Linked DNA regions of Anolis sagrei. The protein of the gene in region 2 purifies or fractionates together with the protein of the main gene of each other region. This does not show direct contact. Links are inferred from orthologs where the notes say so. Each region holds a gene or a part of one and is shown on either strand. Other genes may lie near its edges.

Region 1 (7,105 bases), about 130 Mb from region 2:
GCTGATAGAAATTCTGGGAGTTGAAGTCCAAAACACCTGGAGGACTCAAGTTTGCCCATGTCTGGTCTATATGCATGCTGATTTAAATTTTCTGAAGAAAGAATAAAGCACAAATTATTGCCTTAAAGCTTAAAAAAAAAACAAGACAAGACAAGAATACCTCAAACCCAAGAATTAAAGAGGGAAAAAAGAAAAGTGAAATTCTAAGAATTCATTCTATCAAACTGTCAAATTTGTGTCAGGTTTCAAATCTGATTTAGTGCCGTGTGGATTCAGAACAGATGCATGTGTACTACAACAAATAGTATGAAAAGGAAATTGCTTCCAAAACAGGAACATGAATTAATCCTAAATTGGTAGTTGCAACTCAAAAGGATCAAAGTAACTTTTCCCCACAAGACAAAAAAGTAAGAACACCCATAGATCAACGAGACTGATTGATAAATGGCAAATAGAGGAAGAAAACGTGGAGGCAGTGACAGACTTTGTATTTCTAGGCGCAGAGATTACTAAGATTACTGCAGACGCAGACTGCAGCCAGGAAATCAGAAGACGTTTACTTCTTGATAAAATAGTGAAGAGAAGAGACATCACACTGGCAATGAAGATTCGCATAGTTTTAGCAATGGTATTCCCCATAGCAACCTATGGATGTGAGAGTGGACCATAAGGAAAACTGAGTGAAGGAAGATAGATGCTTTTGAACTGTGATGTCGGAGGAAAGTTCTGAGAGTGCCTTTGACCGCGAGAAGATCAAACCAGTCCATACTCGGGGAAATAATGCCTGGCTGCTCACTGGAGGGAAAGATATTAGAGGCAAAGATGAAGTACTTTGGCCACATAAGGAGAAGACAAGAAAGCTTGAAGAAGATAATGCTGCTGCGGGAAATGGGAGAAAAAAGAAAAAGGGGCCGACCAAGGGCAAGATGGCTGGACGGTATCCTTAAAGTGACTGGCTTGATCTTGAAGAAGCTAGGGGTGATGATGATTGACAGGGAGCTGTGGCGTGGGCTGGTCCATGAGATCACGAAGAGTCAGAAGTGACTGAACAAATAAACAACAACCCATACATTTTATTTCCTGTCTCTACCAACTGCTACAATCCAATATAGCATCGAATATATTTATTCTGGTGGCACAGCAGGTTGAACCACTGAGTTTGCTGACCGAAAGGTTGGTGGTTCAAATCTAGGGAACAGGGTGAGCTCCCACTGTTAGACCCAGCTTCTACCAACCTAGCAGTTCAAAATCATGCAAATGTGATTTAGATCAATAGCTACCGCTTCTGCGGGAAGGTAATGGTGCTCCATGCAGTCATGCTGGCCACATGACCTTTGAGGTGTCTATGGACAATGTCGGCTCTTCGGTCTAGAAATGGAAATAAGAATCACCCCCTAGAGTCGGACCCAACCAGACTTCATGCCAGGGTAAACCTTTACTTATTTATCTTATTTATTTACGATATTTATATCCCACCTTTCTCTACCTGAAGAGGACTTGAGGCAGCTTACAAAGAGGCAAAATTTCAATGCCTTAACCTCAGTATACAATTTTGGTCGTGTCAGGAGCGACCTGAGAAACTGCAAGTCACTTCTGGTGTGAGAGAATTGGCCGTCTGCAAGGGCGTTGCCCAGGAGCCGCCTGGATGATTTTTGATGTTTTATCATCCTTGTGGGAGGCTTCTCTCATGTCCCCGCATGAGGAGCTGGATCTGATAGAGGGAGCTCATCCGCCTCTCCCCGGATTCGAACCTGCGACCTGTCGGTCTTCAGTCCTGCCGGCACAGGGGTTTAACCCACTGTGTTATTTTTATTGTTCATTCGTTCAGTCATTTTCGACTCTTCATGACTTCCTAGACAAGTCCATGCCAGAGCTCCCTGTTGGCCGTCACCACCCCCAGCTCCTTCAAGGTCAGTCCAGTCACTTCAAGGATGCCATCCATCCATCTTGCCCTTGGTCGGCCCCTCTTCCTTTTGCCTTCCACTTTCCCCAGCATCATTGTCTTCTCTAGGCTTTGCTGCCTCCTCATGATGTGGCCAAAGTACTTCAACTTTGTCTCTAGTATCCTTCCCTCCAATGAGCAGTCGGGCTTTATTTCCTGGAGGATGGACTGGTTGGATCCTCTCGCAGTCCAAGGCACTCTCAGAACTTTCCTCCAACACCACAGCTCAAAAGCATCAATCTTCCTTCGCTCAGCCTTAATTTATATTTTATTAAAATATAAATTAAAATATATTTAAATTAAAAATCAATATTAAATACAAACATTATAAACATTATAATCATTATAAACCACGCAATTCGCAATCATAGTCCAGATCATGTTTACATCCATTTGAAGTTTTATAAATATGCCCTTAAAGATCCTAGTAAAGCTCAGAAGTTAATTAGAAACCAAAGCCATAAACACCCACTACTCTAATCTACTGCTCAAAAGAGAAAGCGCTGTAAAAGAACAAATCGGTCTACACACGCCATTGAAGCAGAGTGTTTGAGGACCGGGACATCCGTAGGGATACCAAGGTGCTTGTCTATAAAGCTACTGTCCTCCCAACCCTGCTCTATGCCTGCAAAATGTGGACTGTCTACAGATGTCACATGCAACTCCTGGAACGATTCCATCAGCGCTGCCTCCGGAAAATCCTGCAAATCTCTTGGGAAGACAAGCGGACAAACGCCAGCATGCTGGAAGAAGCAAAGACCACCAGCATTGAAGCGATGCACCTCCGCCATCAACTCCGCTGGGCCGGCCATGTTGTCCGGATGCCTGACCACCGTCTCCCAAAGCAGTTGCTCTACTCTGAACTTAAGAATGGAAAACGGAATGTTGCTGGACAGGAAAAGAGATTGAAAGATGGCCTCAAAGCCAACCTTAAAAACTCTGGCATAGACACTGAGAACTGGGAAGCCCTGGCTCTTGAGCGCTCCAGCTGGAGGTCAGCTGTGACCAGCAGTGCTGCAGAATTCGAGGAGGCACGAGTGGAGGGTGAAAGAGAGAAACGTGCAAGGAGGAAGGACCGCCTTCCACCTGGAAACCAATGCCTCCACTGCGGGAGAAGATGCGGGTCAAGAATAGGGCTCCACAGCCACCTACAAACCCACAAAAATAGTCATCAAGGAAGACCATCTTACTCGTCCAACGAGGGATCGCCTAAGTAAGTAAGTAAGCATGTTTACATTCATTTGAAGTTTTATAAAGATGCCCTTAAAGATCCTAGTAGAGCTCAGAAGTCAATTAGAAACCAAAGCCATAAACACAGACTACTCTAATCTCCTGCTCACAAGAAGAGAAAACGCTGTAAAAGAACAAATCGGTCTACACACGCCATTAAACCGAAACAGTCCCAACAGTTCCTCCCCAATTAACTGAGGCGCCTGAGACGCCGTTGAGCTACCCAAAAGAGCAAGCCCCTCCCCCTCCAGCCCCCTTCTCCTATGAGGAAAGGCCCACTTTTTTCCCCTTCAGCCAACGAGAGCGCGCGCCTCGGTCGCCCCGCCCACTTTGAGCGACCCGATTGGCTACCGGCGAGAAGAAAAGGCGGGGCAAAGCTGTTGTTATGATAAAGAGCGGGCCCCGCCCACGCCTCGTGCGCTGAAAACTCGCTCCTCCTCCTTTTCCACCTTCCTTTGCCTCGCGCTGCCTTTTAACGGCTTTTAAACCAGGCCACGCCCCCTTTGGAAAAAAGAAAGAAAGTTCCTCCCTTTAGGCTCCGCCCACGTTCCCAAAGAGAGTTGGAACTTGAGAAGAAGCTCGGAGGGAAGCCCCGCCCCCTCGAGGGGGGGCCAGACTGAGAAGGACCTCAAGCTCGGAGGGGAAGCCACGCCCCCTTGAGGGAAGCCACGCCCCCTTTGCCCTTGAGGGGAGCCAGACTGAGAAGATCCTCAAGCTCGGAGGGAAAGCCACGCCCCCTTGAGGGAAGCCACGCCCCCTTTGCCCTTGAGGGGAGCCAGACTGAGAAGATCCTCAAGCTCCGAGGGGAAGCCACGCCCCCTTAAGGGAAGCCACGCCCCCTTTGCCCTTGAGGGGAGCCAGACTGAGAAGAACCTCAAGCTCGGAGGGAAGCCACGCCCCCTCGAGCGAGACCACGCCCCCTTTGCCCTCGCGCCTTGTGTGTGTGCGCGTGTGTGTCCTCGCGCTCTCTCTCTCCTCCTGAGTGCCCCTCCCCCTTCCTTCCCCTCAGTCCGGAGCCCATCTGTTTCTGTGGCGGAGGGTCTGTCTGTCGGAGGGCATTGTCGGGCGGGAGATGGGTACGCGAGGCGGCGGAGGAAGAGGCAGCTGAGGGGAAAAGAGAGGGAGAAAAAGGGCGATGTGCCCCGAAGAGGACGGGGGCTGCGGAGGAGCCTCGCCGGCACTGGACTCTGCCTCTTCGGCCGGCAACGGAGGCCCCGAAGGGACAACATTGGCCGCGGGGCTCCTGAGCGAGCTGCGCTCCTGGTGGGAAGTGCCGGCCATCGCTCACTTCTGCTCCCTCTTCAGGACCGCCTTCCGACTCCCCGACTTCGAGATCGAGGTGAGTTGGGCGCAGGGGGCCCATCTACTCCCATGGCTTGTTGACCCTAACATCTAGGTCAGGCCAATTTGGGCCCTCCCTCCCTCTAAGCCTTTTGGACTCCAACTCCCACCATTCCTAACAGCTTCAGGCCCCTTCCTTTTCCCCCTCAGCCGCTTAAGCGGCTGAGGGGGAAAAGGAAAGGGCCTGAGGCTGTTAGGAATGGTGGGAGTTGGAGTCCAAAAGGCTTAAAGGGAGGGAGGGCCCAAATTGGCCCAATACACCGACTTTGAGAGTTCATACAAGAGTTTGGAAGTGACCACCCACTCCAACCCACTTGCATACAGGGAACGGACACAAACTGACCCTCCCCATCCAGAAACCTCCCGTGAAGTTTCCCCAACGCACTGGAAGTTTAGCAATAGTATTGTCGAAGGCTTTCATGGGTTGTTGTAGGTTTTTTCGGGCTGTATGGCCATGGTCTAGAGAGGCATTCTCTCCTGACGTTTCGCCTGCATCTATGGCAAGCATGGATGGAGGATGATGAACACCGATTTTAGTGTGACGACTGATCATTGTATTTATTGAATGTAATCGCTGTTTTAATGTTTTAGTGCATTATTGTAATATGAATTATGATGTTTTATTGACTGTATGTGATATTATGGTTGGAAACCAGTCTGAGTCCCTCAAGAGAGGTGAGAAGGTCGATATTACAAAACTTTTAAATAAATAAATAAAATAAGCATCTTTAGCAATAGTATTTCCAGGCCATTTGAATCCTAGTCTCCAATGCAGCAGAAAAACAAGCTTGCCCGTCTTCCCCCACCACCTCCCCTCTCCTCAATATGGGACCTCCTTTGAGAAATCCTGGAAGCCCGGATGGTGGTGAGGGCACAAAACCACTCGAGCCCAGATGGAGCACGAGCGAAGGAAGGAAGGGCTGGCTTTTTGCGCGCTTTTGCGGGAGTTTGTTGTCGGGTTGGACTGCGTTATTAAATGGCCGGGATTGACTGGTGTTCTTCCCTTGTGAACGCGAGGGAAAGAGCCTCTAATGTGTGTATCCCTTTAAAGATGAGTGTGTGTGTGTATCCCCCTTTCCCTCACCCCATGGGTGTGTATGTATAATAATAATAATAATAATAATAATAATCCCCCTTTCCCTCACCCCTAAGGGTGTGTGTGTATAATAATAATAATAATAATCCCCTTTTCCCTCACCCCTAAGGGTGTGTGTATAATAATAATAATAATAATAATAATAATACCAACAACAACTTTATTTATAATTTGCTCTATCTCCCGAAAGGGACTCAGGGCGGATTCCAAGCATAAAAGGCAAAAATTCAATGCCCGAATACAACAACAATACATCCATGCTGACAAAATGTATACAACCCAACATATAAATACAAATTTTAACTTTTGGCCGGGATCGTCTGGTGTTCTTCCCTTGTGAAGGCGAGGGAAAGAACCTCTAATGTGGTATCCCTTTAAAGATGTGTGTGTGTGTGTATCCCCCTTTCCCTCACCCCTAAGGGTGTGTGTGTATAATAATAATAATAATAGTAATAATAATAATAACTTTATTTATATTCTGCTCTATCTCCCGAAAGGGACTCAGGGCAGATTCCAAACATAAAAGGCAAACATTCAATGCCCAAATACAACCATACATCCATGCCAACAAAATTTATACAACCCAACATATAAATCTGAATTTTAACTTAACAAACTAAAATTTTGTAAACTAAAATTTCGGAGGGAAGAATAGTAGAGGGAGGCCAAGATGAAGTACTTTGGCCACGTCATGAGAAGAAAGGAAAGCTTAGAGAAGGCAGTGATGGTGGGGAAAATGGAAGGAAAAAGGAAGAGGGGCAACCAAGGGCAAGATGGATGGATGGCATCCTTGAAGTGACTGGATTGACCTTGAAGGTGCTGGGAGTGGTGACGGCCGACAGGGAGCTTTGGCCTGGGCTGGTCCATGAGATCACGAAGAGTCGGAAACAACTGAACAAATGAACAACAACAATCTAAAATTAAATTAAAAAAAACACAGGCTGTTATAACAGACATAAGACAAAACACCCAACATCAAATGGAAATGTTGATTTCCCATTTCTTTGGGGCAAATCAATATAATCATTGCTCAAGATATCCATTGAGCTGGTGAGGTATATGTACATATCTCCCGTTCTCCCCATTTTAATTTTGGATTTCGATTTCCCCCGGTGGTGGTGGGATATTGACTGAGGGCCCTTCCATACAACCCTAAGCCCTATATCCCAGGATATCAAGGCAGGAAATCCCACATTATCTGAGTGTCGACTCAGATAACCCAGTTCAAAGAAGATATTGTGGGACATTCTGCCTTGATTTTCTGGGATATAGGGCTGTGTGGAAGGGCCCTTAGTCTCTAGTTCCTTGAGGGATGCAGGTTTTTTTTTGTGGGGGGGAAGCGCCCACCATATGCGTGCGACACAATCGCAGTCGTGTGAATCTGCCATCCCATGTAAATCCCCATTGAATTTGTCGAGGCAGGTCTTGAGCTCGCATTCAGCGCCAGCAACGGCTGAGAAATGCTGGCTCTCTTCTTCCCATCCTTTTAGAGATTG
Region 2 (7,694 bases):
CAGTTAATGCAGTTTCAAACCAGTATTGAAGAAAGTGGTTTTGCTGTGCAGGCAATTACATAGGAAATCCTGGAACCAGTTTGAGGCCCAGATGATATGCAAAGCACAGAGCACTGATACACATCATGGGCTTTCTTTCGCATGCTTCTGTGTGTGTTTGTTGCCTGGCCATTGGCCGTCACAGTTTGAAGCTAGCTTCAAAATGCATTAATCGGTCAGTATAAATGGAGCGTGAATCAACCTGTCTGGGATCACGCAGTTTTGGAGCCAAGCAACCCAGCAAGGAAGAGCCAGCTTTTGAGTATTGGACTCTAAAGGTGCATCTTAACTGCAGAATTCATGCTGTTTGACACCACTTTAATTGCTGTAGCTCAATGTTGTGGAATCATGGGAGTTGTAATTTTACAGAGAACATCAGAAAGAGCCCTTTCAGTGGCTGCTGCCAGACTAACATTCTTAGCCACTTTAGCTACCATGCCTCAATGCAATAGAATGATAGGACTTGTTTGTTTTATGAGGCACCATCACTCTTTGGCAGAGAAGGTTGAAGACCTGGCACTGAATTAAAATGATGTCAAATTGCCTTAAATCTACAGTTGAAGGTGCAACCAAGGTCTTTAGCCTTCTCTATCAAAGAGTGTTGGTGCCCATAAAACTACAACTCCTAGGATCCCACAACATTGAGACAGGGCACCTCAAATTGGGCCAAACCACATTAATTGTATACTGTAGGCAGTCTGGACTCTCTCCCATTAAAGAAAGAAAGCATAGAGTCCAGGTCAGATGAAGATGGAGAGAAAAAGGAAAAAGAAGAGAAAATGTGTAAAAAGAAGATGAAAAGAAGAGGCAAGGAAGTACAAGAAGAAAAAGAAGAGAAGGAAGGAGAAGATAGAGAGAAAAAGGAAAAAGAAAAAAAATGTGTAAAAAAGAAGACAAAAAGAAGAAGCAAGGAAGTACAAGAAGAAAAAGAAGAGATGTGAAAGAGGAGAAAGGAGAAGAAGAAAACAGTGAGGAGGAAGAAAAAGAGAAGATGGAGAAAACAAGGAGAGAAGAAAATAGGAGTAGAAATAAGAAAAGATGGCAAGGAAGTAGGAAGAGAGGGAAGAGAAAGAGGATGAAGGAGAAGGAAAAGAAGAGGGTGGTGAGGAGGAAAAAGTCACAAGGAAGAACAAGGAGAGGAAGAAAAGGAGAAAGAAAGATGGAGGTTAAGAGGAGAAAGAAGTGAAAAGGAAGGGAAAGAAGGGAAAGATGAAGGCTAAGAGGAGAATAAGAGAAAACAGAAGAAAAGAGAGAAGAGGATGAGGAAGTGAAAAAGAAGAACAAGGGCAGGAAGACGAAGGTGAAGAGGAGGAGATGAAGGAGAAAGAAGAGGAGGAAGAAGAAGGAAGAGAATGGTGAGGAGGAAAAGGAAGAACAAGAAGGAAAGGAAGAGAAGGACTGAGAGAGAGAAATGAGGGTGATGGGGAGGAAGAGGGAGATGAGGATGAAGTGAAGAGGAAAGGGAAGGAGAAGAGGAGGTAGAGGAAGAAGTGAAAAGGAAGGAAAAGAAAAGATGAAGAGGAGAAAGAAGAGAAAACTAAAGAGGAAGGAGAAGAGGAAATAAGAGGTGAAAAGGAAGGAAAAGAGGAAGTGAAGTGGAAAGGGAAGGAGTGAAAAGGGGTGGAAAAGAGGAAGATGAAGGTGAAGAGGAGGAAGAAGTAAAGAAGAGAAAAGGAAGGAAATGAGGAGAAAGTGAGGAGGAAAGGGAAGGAAGTGAAAAGGAAGGAAAAGAAGAGACAGGTGAAGAGGTAAAGAGGAGAAGAGAAAACAGAAAAAGAAGAAGAGAAGGAAGGAAGAAGTGGAAATAAAGGAAAAGAGGAAGGGAAGAAGACAAAGGATCAGAAACTGAATAGGAAGGAAAAGAAGAGAAAGGTGAAGAGGAGAAAACAGAAAAGGGAGAAGAGGAGGAGGAACGAAGAAGTGAAAAGAAAGGAAAAGAGGAGGAAGGGAAGAAGAAGGAGCCGGAACTGAAAAGGAAGGAAAAGAAGAGAAAGGTGAAGAGGAGAAAACAGAAAAAGCAGAGGAGGAGGAGGAAGAAGTTAAAAAGAAAGGAAAAGAGGAGGAAGGGAAGAAGAAGAAGGAACTGAAAAGGAAGGAAAAGAAGAGAAAGATGAAGAGAAGGAGAAAGAAGAGGAAGGAGAAGGAAGAAGAGGAGGAATAAGAAGAAGCTGAAGAAGGGCAAGAGAGAGAAGAGGAGGATTTCGGGAGAGCCCCGGAAGGCTGGGCTGGGGCTCTTCCTCCGCCTCCCTCCTGCCATTGTCTCCTCGTCCCACGCGGGGAACGGCGAAGAAGGGAGAAGGGCGGAAGAGGGAGGCAGAAGCGCCCTCCTCCTCACTCGCTCTCTCTCTCGGGCTCCCCCCCCCTCCCTCTCTTACCGCTCCTTCTTCGGCGCCTCCTCCTCCTCCTCCTGGCGGCCCCTCCACAACTGCCTCCGCGGCGCTCTCGGTGCCGGACCCGGCAGTGGCGGCGGCGGGAGGGATCTCGCTCCCCGCCTCGTTCTCAGCCATGTCCCGGCGGCGGTTGGCGCGGCCTTGTTCCCTTCCGAAGGAGGAGCCCCCCTCGCCTCCTCCCGCGCGGTCCCGGCCGTCAGGCTCCTTCTTTCTTGTTCTTCTTCTGCTTCTTCTCCTCCTCTCGCCGGCTTCTCTCAGCGCTCAGTCCCACCAACCAGGAACCCCCTTAGCCGGCTCCCGAGTCTCGCGAGACTACGCTTCCAAAGAGAGAGAGAGAGTGAGCGCGTGCTGCTCCTCTTTGCCTTCGCCCGACGCTTGCTTTCCTGCTTGCTTCGATCCGATTGGGTAGAACGGGAGAAGCCAAAAAAAGGGAGGGGGGAGAGAGAAAGAGAGAAAGAGAGAGATGCCTGCTGGCTTGCTTCAATCCGATTGGATGACGAGAGAGAAGCCAAGAGGGGATGCCTGCCGGTTTGACTGGTCCCTCCGCGCGCGTATTTGGGAGAGAACGGGGGGCGGGGCTAAAGAGAGAGAGAGAGTCCGCGCGCGCGCGAACGAGCGCTGGTGGGTGGAGTCAGGATAAAGGGAGTGACGTCACTGAGTGGGCGAAAGGGGCGGGGCCTGTCTTCTCGCGCGTTCTGAAAGGAGAAGAAAGCAGGTGAGGAAAAGAACACCCAACTTCGGCCCTGCAGGTGTTGAGGACTACAACTCCCACAATTCCTAACAGCCTTCCCAACAGTTGAAACATTTACACCTAGCTCCAACAGACAAGAGTTCTTTGTCCCACCCTGGTCATTCCACAGATATATAAACCCACTAGCCGTTCCCAGGCACGCGTTGCTGTGGCCCACATGGGGGTTCTGTGTGGGTGGTTTGGCCTAATTCTATCGTTGGTGGGGTTCAGAATGGTCTGTGATTATAGGTGAACTATACATCCCAGCAACTACAACTCCCAAATGTCAAGATTCTATTTTCCCCAAAATCCACCAGTGTTCACATTTGGGCATATTGAGTATTTGTGTAGAGTTTGGTTCAGATCCATCATTGTTTGAGTCCACAGTGATCTCTGGATTTAGGTGAACTACAACTCCAAAACCTAAGGACACTGCCCACCAAACCCTTCCAGTATTTTCTGTTGGTCATGGGAGAACTGTGTGCCAAGTTTGGTCCAATTCTATTGTCGGTGGGGTTCAGAATGCTCTTTGATTGTAAGTGAACTATATTTCCCAGCAACTACAACTCCTAATCAAGGTGAAAGAAGAAAGCGCAAAAGCCGGGTTGCAGCTAAACGTCAAAAAAACCAAGATTATGGCAACAAGAATGATTGACAACTGGAAAATAGAGGGAGAAACCGTGGAGGCTGTGACAGACTTTGTATTTCTAGGTGCAAAGATTACTGCAGATGCAGACTGTGGCCAGGAAATCAGAAGACGCTTACTTCTTGGGAGGAGAGCAATGTCCAATCTCGATAAAATAGTGAAGAGTAGAGACATCAGACTGGCAACAAAGATCCGCCTAGTCAAAGCCATGGTATTCCCTGTAGTCACCTACGGATGTGAGAGCTGGACCTTAGGGAAGGCTGAGCGAAGGAAGATCGATGCTTTTGAGCTGTGGTGTTGGAGGAAAGTGCTGAGAGTGCCTTGGACTGCGAGAAAATCCAACCAGTCCATCCTCCAGGAAATAAAGCCTGACTGCTCACTGGAGGGAAAGATACTAGAGACAAAGTTGAAGTACTTTGGCCACATCATGAGGAGACAGGAAAGCCTAGAGAAGACAATGATGCTGGGGAAAGTGGAAGGCAAAAGGAAGAGGGGCCGACCAAGGGCAAGATGGATGGATGGCATCCTTGAAGTGACTGGACTGACCTTGAGGGAGCTGGGGGTGGTAACGGCCGACAGGGAGCTCTGGCGTGGGCTGGTCCATGAGGTCACGAAGAGTCGGAGACGACTGAACGAATGAACAACAACAACACAACTCCCAAATGACAAAATCTATTCTTTTTTTTTAGTGAAGGACATACATTGGGTTGTTAGGTGTCTTGTGTCCAAATTTGGTGTCAATTCGTCCTGTGGTTTTTGAGTTCTGTTAATATCACAAACAAACATTACATTTTTATTTATATAGATTTTCCTAGTTCCAACAGACCTCACTACCTCTGAGAATGCTTGCCATAGATGCAGGCGAAACGTCAGGAGAGAATGCTTCTAGAACATGGCCATATAGCCCGAAAAAAACCTACAACAACCCAGCCTTCCTAACAGTTTGAAAAACAGACTTCTGTACTCAAATTGTTTCAAGGCTTTTTTTGTGTCAGGAGTGACTTGAGAAACTATAAATCGCTTCTGGTGTGAGAGGATTGACCGTCTGCAAGGACGTTGCCCAGGGGACGCCCGGATGTTTTGATGTTTTACCATCCTTGTGGGAGGCTTCTCTCATGTCCCTGCATGGGGAGCTGGAGCTGACAGAGGGAGCTCCTCCATGCTCTCCCCGTATTCGAACCACCGACTTGTCAGTCTTCAGTCCTGCTGGCACAAGGGTTTAACCCATGGCACCCCCGGGGGCTCCTGTCTCATGGTCTAACTGCCTTCTGACTATATAATACTAATATTGTGATGTGCTCAGGCATGTAGCCGGGGGGGGGGGGGGACTTGAGGGGCTTCTCCCCCCCCCCCCGGCGAAATTCTCATCGTGGTCCACAAGAAGGCCTTACTGGTACATTATTTAAACTGTTATGTTTATTCATATCATGATCTGATCAACATGCTCAATATATCCCGTATGCATGGGGGTATTGGGGTAATGATACAAAAGGTTTGCTAGGGTAGACCCTCTTTCACTCAGACTCAGCCCCCCCCCCCGAATCAAACTCACCCCCCCCCAACCCAAATCCTGGCTACGGGCCTGGCAGAGCTAATATTATAATATATTGTATGCACATATAATATTGATAATATTATAATGTAATACAATATAATAGTACTAATATAATTTTATATTTCATGTTACATGTTATATTACTAATAATATTACAGTATAGTGGTATAGTTCAGTATAGTGTAATGTATAATACTAATATTGTGCTATGCTAATAATATAATATATTGTATGTACATATAACTTGTAAGCTGCTCTGAGTCCCCTTTGGGATGAGAAGGGCAGCATGTAAATGTCATAAATAAATAAATACACTAGCTTTTCTATTCTAACTGACATAAGCCTCAACTGTCTTCTAACTGCCTACACTGGCTTCTGTATTCTAATTGACTCAAGCCTCCACACTCATTCCTCAACTGTCATCATGTTTTAATATGCATTCTCTACTGTCACTGATCTGCAGCCCCTCCCACTGCCTCAAGTATATAGAGCTAAGGAAACTGAAAACCAAAGAAGGCATACACTTTAAGAAATAAAATGACACATTATAAACAAACATAACTTTACATAGAGTAGGCTTGAGAAGGTTGCTATCGCCAACAAAGTAAGCTGCTTTGAGTCTCCTTTGGGACAGATAAAGCATGGTATAAATAAACCTAATAATAAGAGAGCACTACCAGACCTCTGGTTGAGAATTATTTTGTATCCAGGCTCTGCTAATCCATGTTAGCCCAGTTATCATCACTGGCCACAAAAACAACTCACACAATGTTATGAATGATAGTTGGCATCTGTAGATCCATGTGAATTGTTTTATGTTCAGATTTTATATAGTTTTTGTTTACGATTGCTATAATCTATTGATATTAGGTTCTAATTGTTTTTATATGTGAGGTTTTTCGGGGGTTATGATGTTGGTACTTGTTTTATGGAGGCATTGAATGTTTGTCACTGCATATTGGAATCCACCTTGAGTCCCTCTGGGAAGATTGGGTGGGATATAAAGATTGTTTATTATTATTGTTATAATAATAATAATAATAATAATAATGAATTACTTTTTGTTGACCTGCAAGAAGAGATTAGAAAGCTAAACAGACTAGGCCGACTTTGAAATAGTTCAAAACCCCCAGAATTTAGAACAGTTTGTGAAAAGTAACTCATTGTTTGTACATCCTTTAGCATTTTTAAACTTCATACATAGTTTTAAAATGGAGTGCTATAATTTTCCTGACCTGTGGAGCAAAACATACCTAACACGCCTCCTTTAGTTAGAGCAGTGAGTAAAAAGACTAATAATGCAAAAGAAGTGAAGTTATCCTCATTACATTATACTTGTAGAATAACTTAGTTGCTGCACAAGTTGAATTCATTGCAAATACCTTCTTCTTTGTAACCAGTTATCTGTGTTCTTGTATTGGAATGGGTTGAGCAGAGTGTGTCTGATCTCAAAATCTCCTGGAATCTCTCCATGATAAAAGAACAGTCCAATGCCAAGAGGCAGTTACTGAAGTTTGAAATGTGTATTCTAAAGTGGATATAATATAGGCAACATAATCTTCAAAGGTTTTTGGGTCATTCCGTACCAAGTAGTCTAAACTTTCCCACCATCATGTCTCCAATTTTGTTCAAATTTTAGCTGTAGTGGCAGTCAGGTGTTAAACTAAGTTTCCCAAAATGTGAGGTTTCTAACTGCAATAGCTGCTGATCTCAACCCCCTTATCTGAACGATAGTGACCTGAGTAAATGGATTTTTTGGTTGTGTCAGGAGCAACTTGAGAAACTGCAAGCCACTTCTGGTGTGAGAGAATTGGCCGTCTGCAAGGACATTGCCCAGGGGACACCCAGATGTTTTGATTTGTTACCATCATTGTGGTAGGCTTCTTTCATGTTCCCGCATGGGGAGCTGGAGCTGACAGAGGGAGCTCATCCATGCTCTCCCCGGATTCGAACCTGCCATCTGTCGGTTTTCAGTCCTGCCTGCACAGGCGTTTAATCCACTGCACTACTGGGGGCTCCAGTAAATGGGTCAAAGCATATTATATCTTGTATGCAAGGTGTATTGCGTTTCTCCATGATGGCTGAGCCATTACTGGTTATCACATTGAAACCAGCATCCCCATCACTATAGGGGGCATGTTGATAGCCATGCAGTAACAGCCAGAGCAGGTATCTTTACTGCAGGATATCAAGCCTGATTGCAGGTTTCTTTACTGCATGATCTCAACTCGGTTTATTCAGTTACTTCATCATTCTGAAAGCATCATTGATCTGCAAGAGAATGGTTTCAGGGCAATTATATTGCTGACCAGATGATGTCACTGACGGAGCTAG
Region 3 (7,290 bases), about 120 Mb from region 2:
TAGTTATTGACTGTAATTGCTGTTTTAATGTTTTACTGTAATATGTATTATGATGTTTTATTGATTGTATGTGATATTATGGTTGGAAACCGGTCTAAGTCCCTCAAGAGAGGTGAGAAGGTCGGTATACAAAACTTTTAAATAAATAAATAATAGTAGGTGCTCTTCCTGACAGTTGTCACTCAGGCCCCTTCTACATTGCCAGATAATCCAGATTATCAAAGTGGATAATCCACATTATCTGATTTGATCTGGATTATATGAAACTACACTGCCAGATGATCCATTTCAAAGCAGATAACCTGGATTGTATATATTAGTGTAGAAGGGGCCTCAGGCCCTGTCTACACTGCCATATAATCCAGTGTGAACTGCATTATAATGGTCAGTGTACTCAATGTATTAGAATCTGTATTTTAATTGTATTGTGTTTTTAATCTGTGTTCCAACTATGTTGCACCCTGCCTCAAACTGTGAGGAAAGGCAAGTAACATGCTATTATTGTTATTGTATTACTAGTTTGGGTATGCAGTGATGCCCAGTGTTATTTGAAAAAGACATGGCTTGTTTTTGAATGTTAGATAGTGTTCGTTTGGTAATTTGTAACTCTATTTCTTTTTAGGAAGAAGTCAGTGTTTTCTTTTGTTTTTTAGGAATTCTCTCATTAAAAATGCATAATAATGTGAGTGAACTATAATTCCCAAAAATTGTGGGTCAATCACCCCAAACCCTGCCAGTATGCAAAGTTTGCCACATTGGGTCTGCGTGCCAAGTCTGGTCAAGATTCGTTGTCAGCAGGGTTCAGTGCTCTCCAACTTTAAATTATAACTCCCGGATTCCAGATCAATCACTTGCAAACCCCACACCACTATTCAAAGTGGGCCATACTGGATCTGTGTGTCAAGTTTGGTCCAGATCCATAGTCAGCTGGGTTCAGGGGGCTCTCTGGATACAAGGTACAACTCACTCCCAGGTGGGTCAGTCCTCCTCCCAACCCCTCCATTATGTTCTGATGGTCATCAGGGTTCTGTGTGCCAAGTTTGGCCCAGATCCATCAGAGTACTCTCTGGATGCAGTGTGAACTACAATTCCCACTCCAGTGGGTCAGTCCCTTAATCCCTCCAATATATTCAGTTAGCCATCGGGGTTCTATGTGCCAAGTATGGTCCGAATCTGCCATTGGTGGGCTTCAGAATGCTCTCTGGATGCAGAGTGAACTACAACTCCCGCTCTGGCAGGTCAGTCCCCCCACCCCCACCCCACACCTCCAGTATGTTCTGTTAGTCATGGGGGTTCTGTGTGCCAAGTTTGGTCTAGATCTGCCATTGGTGGGCTTCAGAGTGCTCTCTGGATAGAGGGTAAACTACAACTCCTATCCTGGTTGGGCGGTCCCCATAAACCCCTCCAGTACATTTGAACTGTGGTGTTGGAGGAAATTTTTGAGAGTGCCTTGGACCACGAGAAGATCCAACCAGTCCATCCTCCAGGAAATAAAGCCCAACTGCTCATTGAAGGGAAGGATAGTAGAGGCAAAGATGAAGTACTTTGGCCACATCATGAGAAGACAGGAAAGCTTAGAAAAGAAAATGATGCTGGGGAAAATGGAAGGAAAAAGGAAGAAGGGCCAACCAAGGAGAAGATGGATGGCATCCTTGAAGTGATTGGCTTTACTCTGAAGGAGCTGGGGGTGGTGACGGCCAACAGGGAGCTCTGGCGTGGAATGGTCCATGAGGTCATGAAGAGTCGGAAGCAACTGGACGAATAAACAATAACAACACGTTCCATTAATCATCAGGGTTCTGTGTGCCAAGTCTACTCCAGATCCATCATTGGTGGGGGTCGTAGGTTCGAATCCAGGGAGAGTGCGGATGAGCTCCCTCTGTCAGCTCCAGCTCCCCACGCGGGACATGAGAGAAGCCTCCCACAAGGATGGTAAAACTGCAAAACATCCCCTGGGCAACGTCCTTGCAAACAGTCAATTCTCTCACACCAGAAGCGACTTGCAGTTTCTCAAATCGCTGACACAAAAAAATGGTGGGGGTCACAGTGGTCTTTGGAAGTGGGAGCCAATAGGAAAGCTGCTGCAAACTTACATCTACTATTATTATATAGATACTAGCGGTCCCCTGCCACACGATGCTGTGGCCCAGTCTGGTGATCTGGAAAATAAAGTAATGAGAAAGTGTTGGTTTCTAATATATGTAATGTCTTTATGCTTGTGGGTAAACAGTATTTCTTGCTATTTCTTTGCCAGTGTTGATGTGGAGATTGTCTGGTTTGCCTACTCTGGGACATTCAACATATAATTGTCCTTCTTTAGGGGTCCCTTTCAAATCTATGTTACTGCATCTGTCATATACATGTGTGTGTGTGTGTGTGTGTGTGTGAATGGCTGGATGGCCTTTTGTCAAGAGAACTTTCATTATGTTTGTTGCCCTGATTAAGGGAGTTGGACTGGATGGCCTTAAGGCAGCATTTCTCAACCTGGGAAGTCAAGACCCCGGGGGGAGGAGGTCACCAGGGGGTATCAGAACAGTCACCGAAGACCACTAAAAACACACACAGTATTTTCTGTTGGTCATGGGGGTTCTGTGAGGGATGTTTGGCCCAATTCCATCATTGGTGTGGTTCAGAATGCTCTTTGATTGTAGGTGAACTATACATCCTAGTAACTACAACTCCCAAATGTCAAGGGCTATTTCCCCCAAACTCCATCTGTGTTCACATTTGGGCATATTGATTATTCCTGTCAAGTTTAGTCCAGATCCATCATTGAGTCCACAGTGTTCTCTGGATGGAGGTGAATTACAATTCCAAAATTCAAGGTCAATGCCCACCAAACCCTTTCAGTAATTTCTGATGGTCATGGGAGTCCTGTGTGCCAACTTTGATTCAATTCTATCGTTGGTGGAGTTCAGAATGCTCTTTGATTGTAGGTGAACTATAAATCCCAGCAACTACAACTCCCAAATGACAAAATTATATTTTTTTGTGATGGTGACTCCTTGTGTAGTGAGACATTTTGTTGCCAAATTTTGTGTGATTTCGTTCATTGGTTCTTTTGTTTTTAATGTACTCATTATGCACAGAGCATTTTTATATATATAGCAGTACGTGTGAAAAAGATCTTGGAGTCCTTATGGACAACAAGTTAAACATGAGTCAACAATAAGATGTGGTGGCAAAAAAAGCCAATGGGATTTTGGCCTGCATCAATAGGAGCATAGTGTCTAAATCTAGGGAAGTCATGCTACCCCTCTATTCCGCCTTGGTTAGACCACACCTGGAATATTGTGTCCAATTCTGGGCACCACAATTGAAGAGAGAGATTGACAAGATGGAATGTGTCCAGAGGAGAGCTACTAAAATGATAAAGGGTCTGGAGAACAAGCCCTATGAGGAACGGCTTAAGGAGCTGGGCATGTTTAGCCTGAAGAAGAGAAGGCTGAGAGGAGACATGATAGCCATGTATAAATATGTGAGAGGAAGCCACAGGGAGGAGGGAGCAAGCTTGTTTTCTGCTTCCCTGGAGACTAGGATGCGAAACAATGGCTTCAAACTACAAGAGATTCCATCTGAACATTAGGAAGAACTTCCTGACTGTGAGAGCCGTTCAGCAGTGGAACTCTCTGCCCCGGCGTGTGGTGGGGTTTCCTTCTTTGGAAGCTTTTAAACAGAGGCTGGATGGCCCTCTGTCAGGGGTGATCTGAATGCAATATTCCTGCTTCTTGGCAGGGGGTTGGACTGGATGGCCCATGAGGTCTCTTCCAACTCTTTGATTCTATGAAGATAAAGATTGAGATTAATGCATTTATTGTTATTATTATGTGCCTCTTCTCCGCCCATTTTACTGAGTGCTTCCCAATATTCCTGGCAGAATGGGATCTAGAAACACAACAGAGCGACCCAAAGCTGCCACCATCCTTCTCCACCCTCTTCCTGTTCGACTGAAAGAGTGAAAGGGAAATGGCAAGCTTTAGGCTTCATTTGAAATCTCGCGATAGGTTTGGAACCCTCTTTTCCGCCCTCTCGGCTCTCGCGAGATGTACCCTCCTCGTCTCGCGAGAGCAGCGGCCTGCTTCAGAGGAGTTTGGTGCGCTTTCCCCAGCGGATCTTGAGAGACCCCGTCGCGATGTTTTTGCGTCATCGTTTTCCACAGTTTGAAGTCTGAAGTCTCCCCGCTTTCTGGAAACACGCAAGTCTTCTTACTTGTGTTTAAAAAGCAGCTTTCTTTCCCTCCCGGGATACGAATCAAATAATGTTCTGCAGAGCAAACGTCTTGAGTAGCTGCTTGGCTTCCAGATATTGACAGGATGGAAGGTCATTCTTTGTTCTCAAGGGAAATGTTTCCTTTCTCAGCAGAGTTCGCTTTTAAACGGTAAGATTTCAGACTGTTAAGGTTCGTTGGTATTTTTATTATTATTTTAATGAATTAAATGCTATTTCACTTTTTTTTACTGTTTTAAATCGTTTTAAAAGAATGTTTTTGTCTCTTTTGCATTGGCTAGGGAGACCTAGAATTCTGACAGGTGATAAATTTTATCTATTTGTTTATTTATTTATTTATCAATTTTATATACCACCACTCCCCGAAGGCTCAGAGCGGTTTACAATATACATATGCAATACATTACATTTAAAATCAAAGAAAAATTTCAGTCAACAAGATTCAAATGCCAGCCTAAATAAATATGTTTTACAAGCTCTACAAAAAGATAGTAAGTCTCGTAGAGCTTGTGTTTCTGCTGGCAAGGCATTCCACAGGTAAGGAGCCACCACCGTGAATGCTCTACACCTAGTGGACATCAGGTGAAAGGTCCAAAAATTGGGAACTTCGAGGAAGTTCTGATCGTCTGAACGGAGTGATCTCGGGTGTTGGTAGGGGGTGAGGCGGTCCATCAGATATTCCGTCCCCAGGCCATATAAGGCCTTAAAAGTAAGAATCAGCACTTTGAAGGTAATCCGGTGCTCAATCGGCAACCAGTGCAGTTGCTGCAAGATTGTAGTGCAGAAGGTGTATTTTCGAAGGCTTTCATGGCTGGAATCACTGCATAGTTGTAGGTTTTTCAGGCTGTATGGCCATATTCTAGAGGCATTCTCTCCTGACGTTTCGCCTGCATCTACAGCAAGCACCCTCAGAGGTTGTGAGGTGCCATATAGCCCAAAAAACCTACAACAACCCAATTGTGGAAGGCTTTCATGGCTGGAATCACTGGGTTGTTGTAGGTTTTTCAGGCTGTATGGCCATATTCCAGAGGCATTCTCTCCTGATGTTTCGCCTGCATCTATGGCAAGCATCCTCAGAGGTTGTGAGGTGCCATATAGCCCGAAAAACCTACAACAACCCAATTGTGGAAGGCTTTAATGGCTGGAATCACTGGGTTGTTGTAGGTTTTTCGGGCTGTATGGCCATATTCTAGAGGCATTCTCTCCTGACATTTCACCTGCATCTATGGCAAGCATCTTCAGAGGTTGTGAGGTGCCATATAGCCCAAAAAACCTACAACAACCCAATTGTGGAAGGCTTTCATGGCTGGAAGCACTGGGTTGTTGTAGGTTTTTCAGGCTGTATGGCCATGTTCTAGAAGCATTCTCTCCTGACGTTTCACGTGCATCTATGACAAGCATCTCAAAGGTTGTGAGGTGCCATATAGTCCGAAAAACCTACAACAACCCAATTGTGGAAGGCTTTCATGGCCAGAATCACTGGATTGTTGTAGGTTTTTCTGGGCTGCAAGGCCATGTTCCAGAAGCATTCTCTCCTGACGTTTCGCTTGCATCTATGGCAATCATCTTCAGAGGTTGTGAGGTGCCATATAGCCCAAAAAACCTACAACAACCCAATTGTGGAAGGCTTTCATGGCCGGAATCACTGGGTTGTTGTGAGTTTTCCGGGCTGCAAGGCCATGTTCCAGAAGCATTCTCTCCTGACGTTTCGCCTGCATCTAAAGAACTAAAGACATGGATGTTCCACTGTACATTCAGCCATATAGTTCCCCCAAAAATTCTGGTTCCCAGTTTGATCCATAATTAGATTTTGCTCATTTCACTGTGCTCTTTTAGAGACATAGTGCTTTCCTTACATCCCCCCCCCCCCCCCCGGGTCCTAATCTTGTCATCTGCCATTAACACTTTAACCATCAACCCTGTCCTTTGGCAACTGATTTACACCAGCCACCACTGAAACTCGGATCCATGCACTACTCAAACCTTTGAAGGTTGTTAAATATTCGCTATGTATTGTATTCTGTGGTTGTTTTATATTGTTGAAATGTTTTATGAATTTTTTTGTTATAATTTATTTTAACTATTTGTAATCTTGGGCTTGTCCCCATGTAAGCCACCCCGAGTCTCCGCAGGGAGATGGAGGCAGAGTACAAAAATTAAGTTGTTATTATTATTATTATTATTATTATTATTATTTTAAACACAGCAAGATGAGTCCACAGCAGCCAAAATCACTCTGCTGGCTGTTATATTGTATCACACGTCGGACACTTCCCAAGTGTGTAGGACTGTGTGATGTATCGGTGAATAATGCGTGCAAATCCCAGTAAGGTGGCCTTTTGCAGCTGGCAGATGGTAATTTTGTCGGCACCGATTGTGCTTAAGTGCAGGCCAAAGTCTTTAGGCACTGCACCCAGTGTGCCGATAACTCTTTGACAACTTGGCCTTATGTAAGAACATGACTGCTTTTTAATGTATTTTTATGTATTATGTGATGTGATGTTTTTAAACTACTGTTCATGAATCTTGTTGTAAACCGGCCTGAGTCCCTCTCCGGAGGTGAGAAGACCGGTATATAAAAGTTCTAAATAAATAAATTCTAAACCACTGGGACCACCTTTACTGGCCTGTGCCAGAGTCTTTGCAGTTCAGTCTTTAAATCCTCATATCATGTCATTTCCAGTTGTTTCTCTTCAATCCTGCTGTCGCCTGGGATTGCAACATTGACGATCCATACTTTGTTTTTTAACACGATCGTGAGGTTAGGACTACTGTGCTCCAAAACTCTGTCAGTCTAAATTCGGAAGACCCAGAGTAGTTTGATATCTTCATTTTCTGTAACTTTTTCAGCTTGTGATCCCACCAGTACTTTGTCGCAGGCAGATGGTATTTGTGGCACAAGTTTCAATTATTCATTTGAGCAATCGTGTTATGCCTCTGCTTGTAGTCTGTCTGCGCAATCTTCTTGCAGCAGCTGAGGATGGGATCTATTGTTTCATCTGCTTCCTTGCAGAGTCTACATTTGGGATATGTCATCGACTTTTCAGTTCTGGTTTTGATGGC

Evidence for each region. Proteins that work in one complex are often made in the same cells at the same time.
Region 1: the proteins of SMARCA5 (region 2) and CECR2 purify together in Homo sapiens (affinity purification with mass spectrometry; 3 studies listed by BioGRID and IntAct, with this or other methods). This does not show direct contact. The link is inferred for Anolis sagrei from reciprocal best matches to the Homo sapiens genes SMARCA5 and CECR2.
Region 3: the proteins of SMARCA5 (region 2) and HMGXB4 purify together in Homo sapiens (affinity purification with mass spectrometry; 3 studies listed by BioGRID and IntAct, with this or other methods). This does not show direct contact. The link is inferred for Anolis sagrei from reciprocal best matches to the Homo sapiens genes SMARCA5 and HMGXB4.

Annotation. Positions count from the first base shown.
Region 1 is NC_090025.1:179,982,143-179,989,247, forward strand, and holds the start of CECR2 (chromatin remodeling regulator CECR2), read left to right. Parts: upstream 1-4,105; 5' UTR 4,106-4,307; coding exon 4,308-4,511; intron 4,512-7,105. UniProt on the Homo sapiens protein: Regulatory subunit of the ATP-dependent CERF-1 and CERF-5 ISWI chromatin remodeling complexes, which form ordered nucleosome arrays on chromatin and facilitate access to DNA during DNA-templated processes such as DNA replication, transcription, and repair.
Region 2 is NC_090025.1:46,574,728-46,582,421, reverse strand, and holds the start of SMARCA5 (SWI/SNF-related matrix-associated actin-dependent regulator of chromatin subfamily A member 5), read right to left. Parts: upstream 3,013-7,694; 5' UTR 2,547-3,012; coding exon 2,415-2,546; intron 1-2,414. UniProt on the Homo sapiens protein: ATPase that possesses intrinsic ATP-dependent nucleosome-remodeling activity.
Region 3 is NC_090025.1:167,423,446-167,430,735, reverse strand, and holds the start of HMGXB4 (HMG domain-containing protein 4), read left to right. Parts: upstream 1-4,290; 5' UTR 4,291-4,378; intron 4,379-7,290. UniProt on the Homo sapiens protein: Negatively regulates Wnt/beta-catenin signaling during development.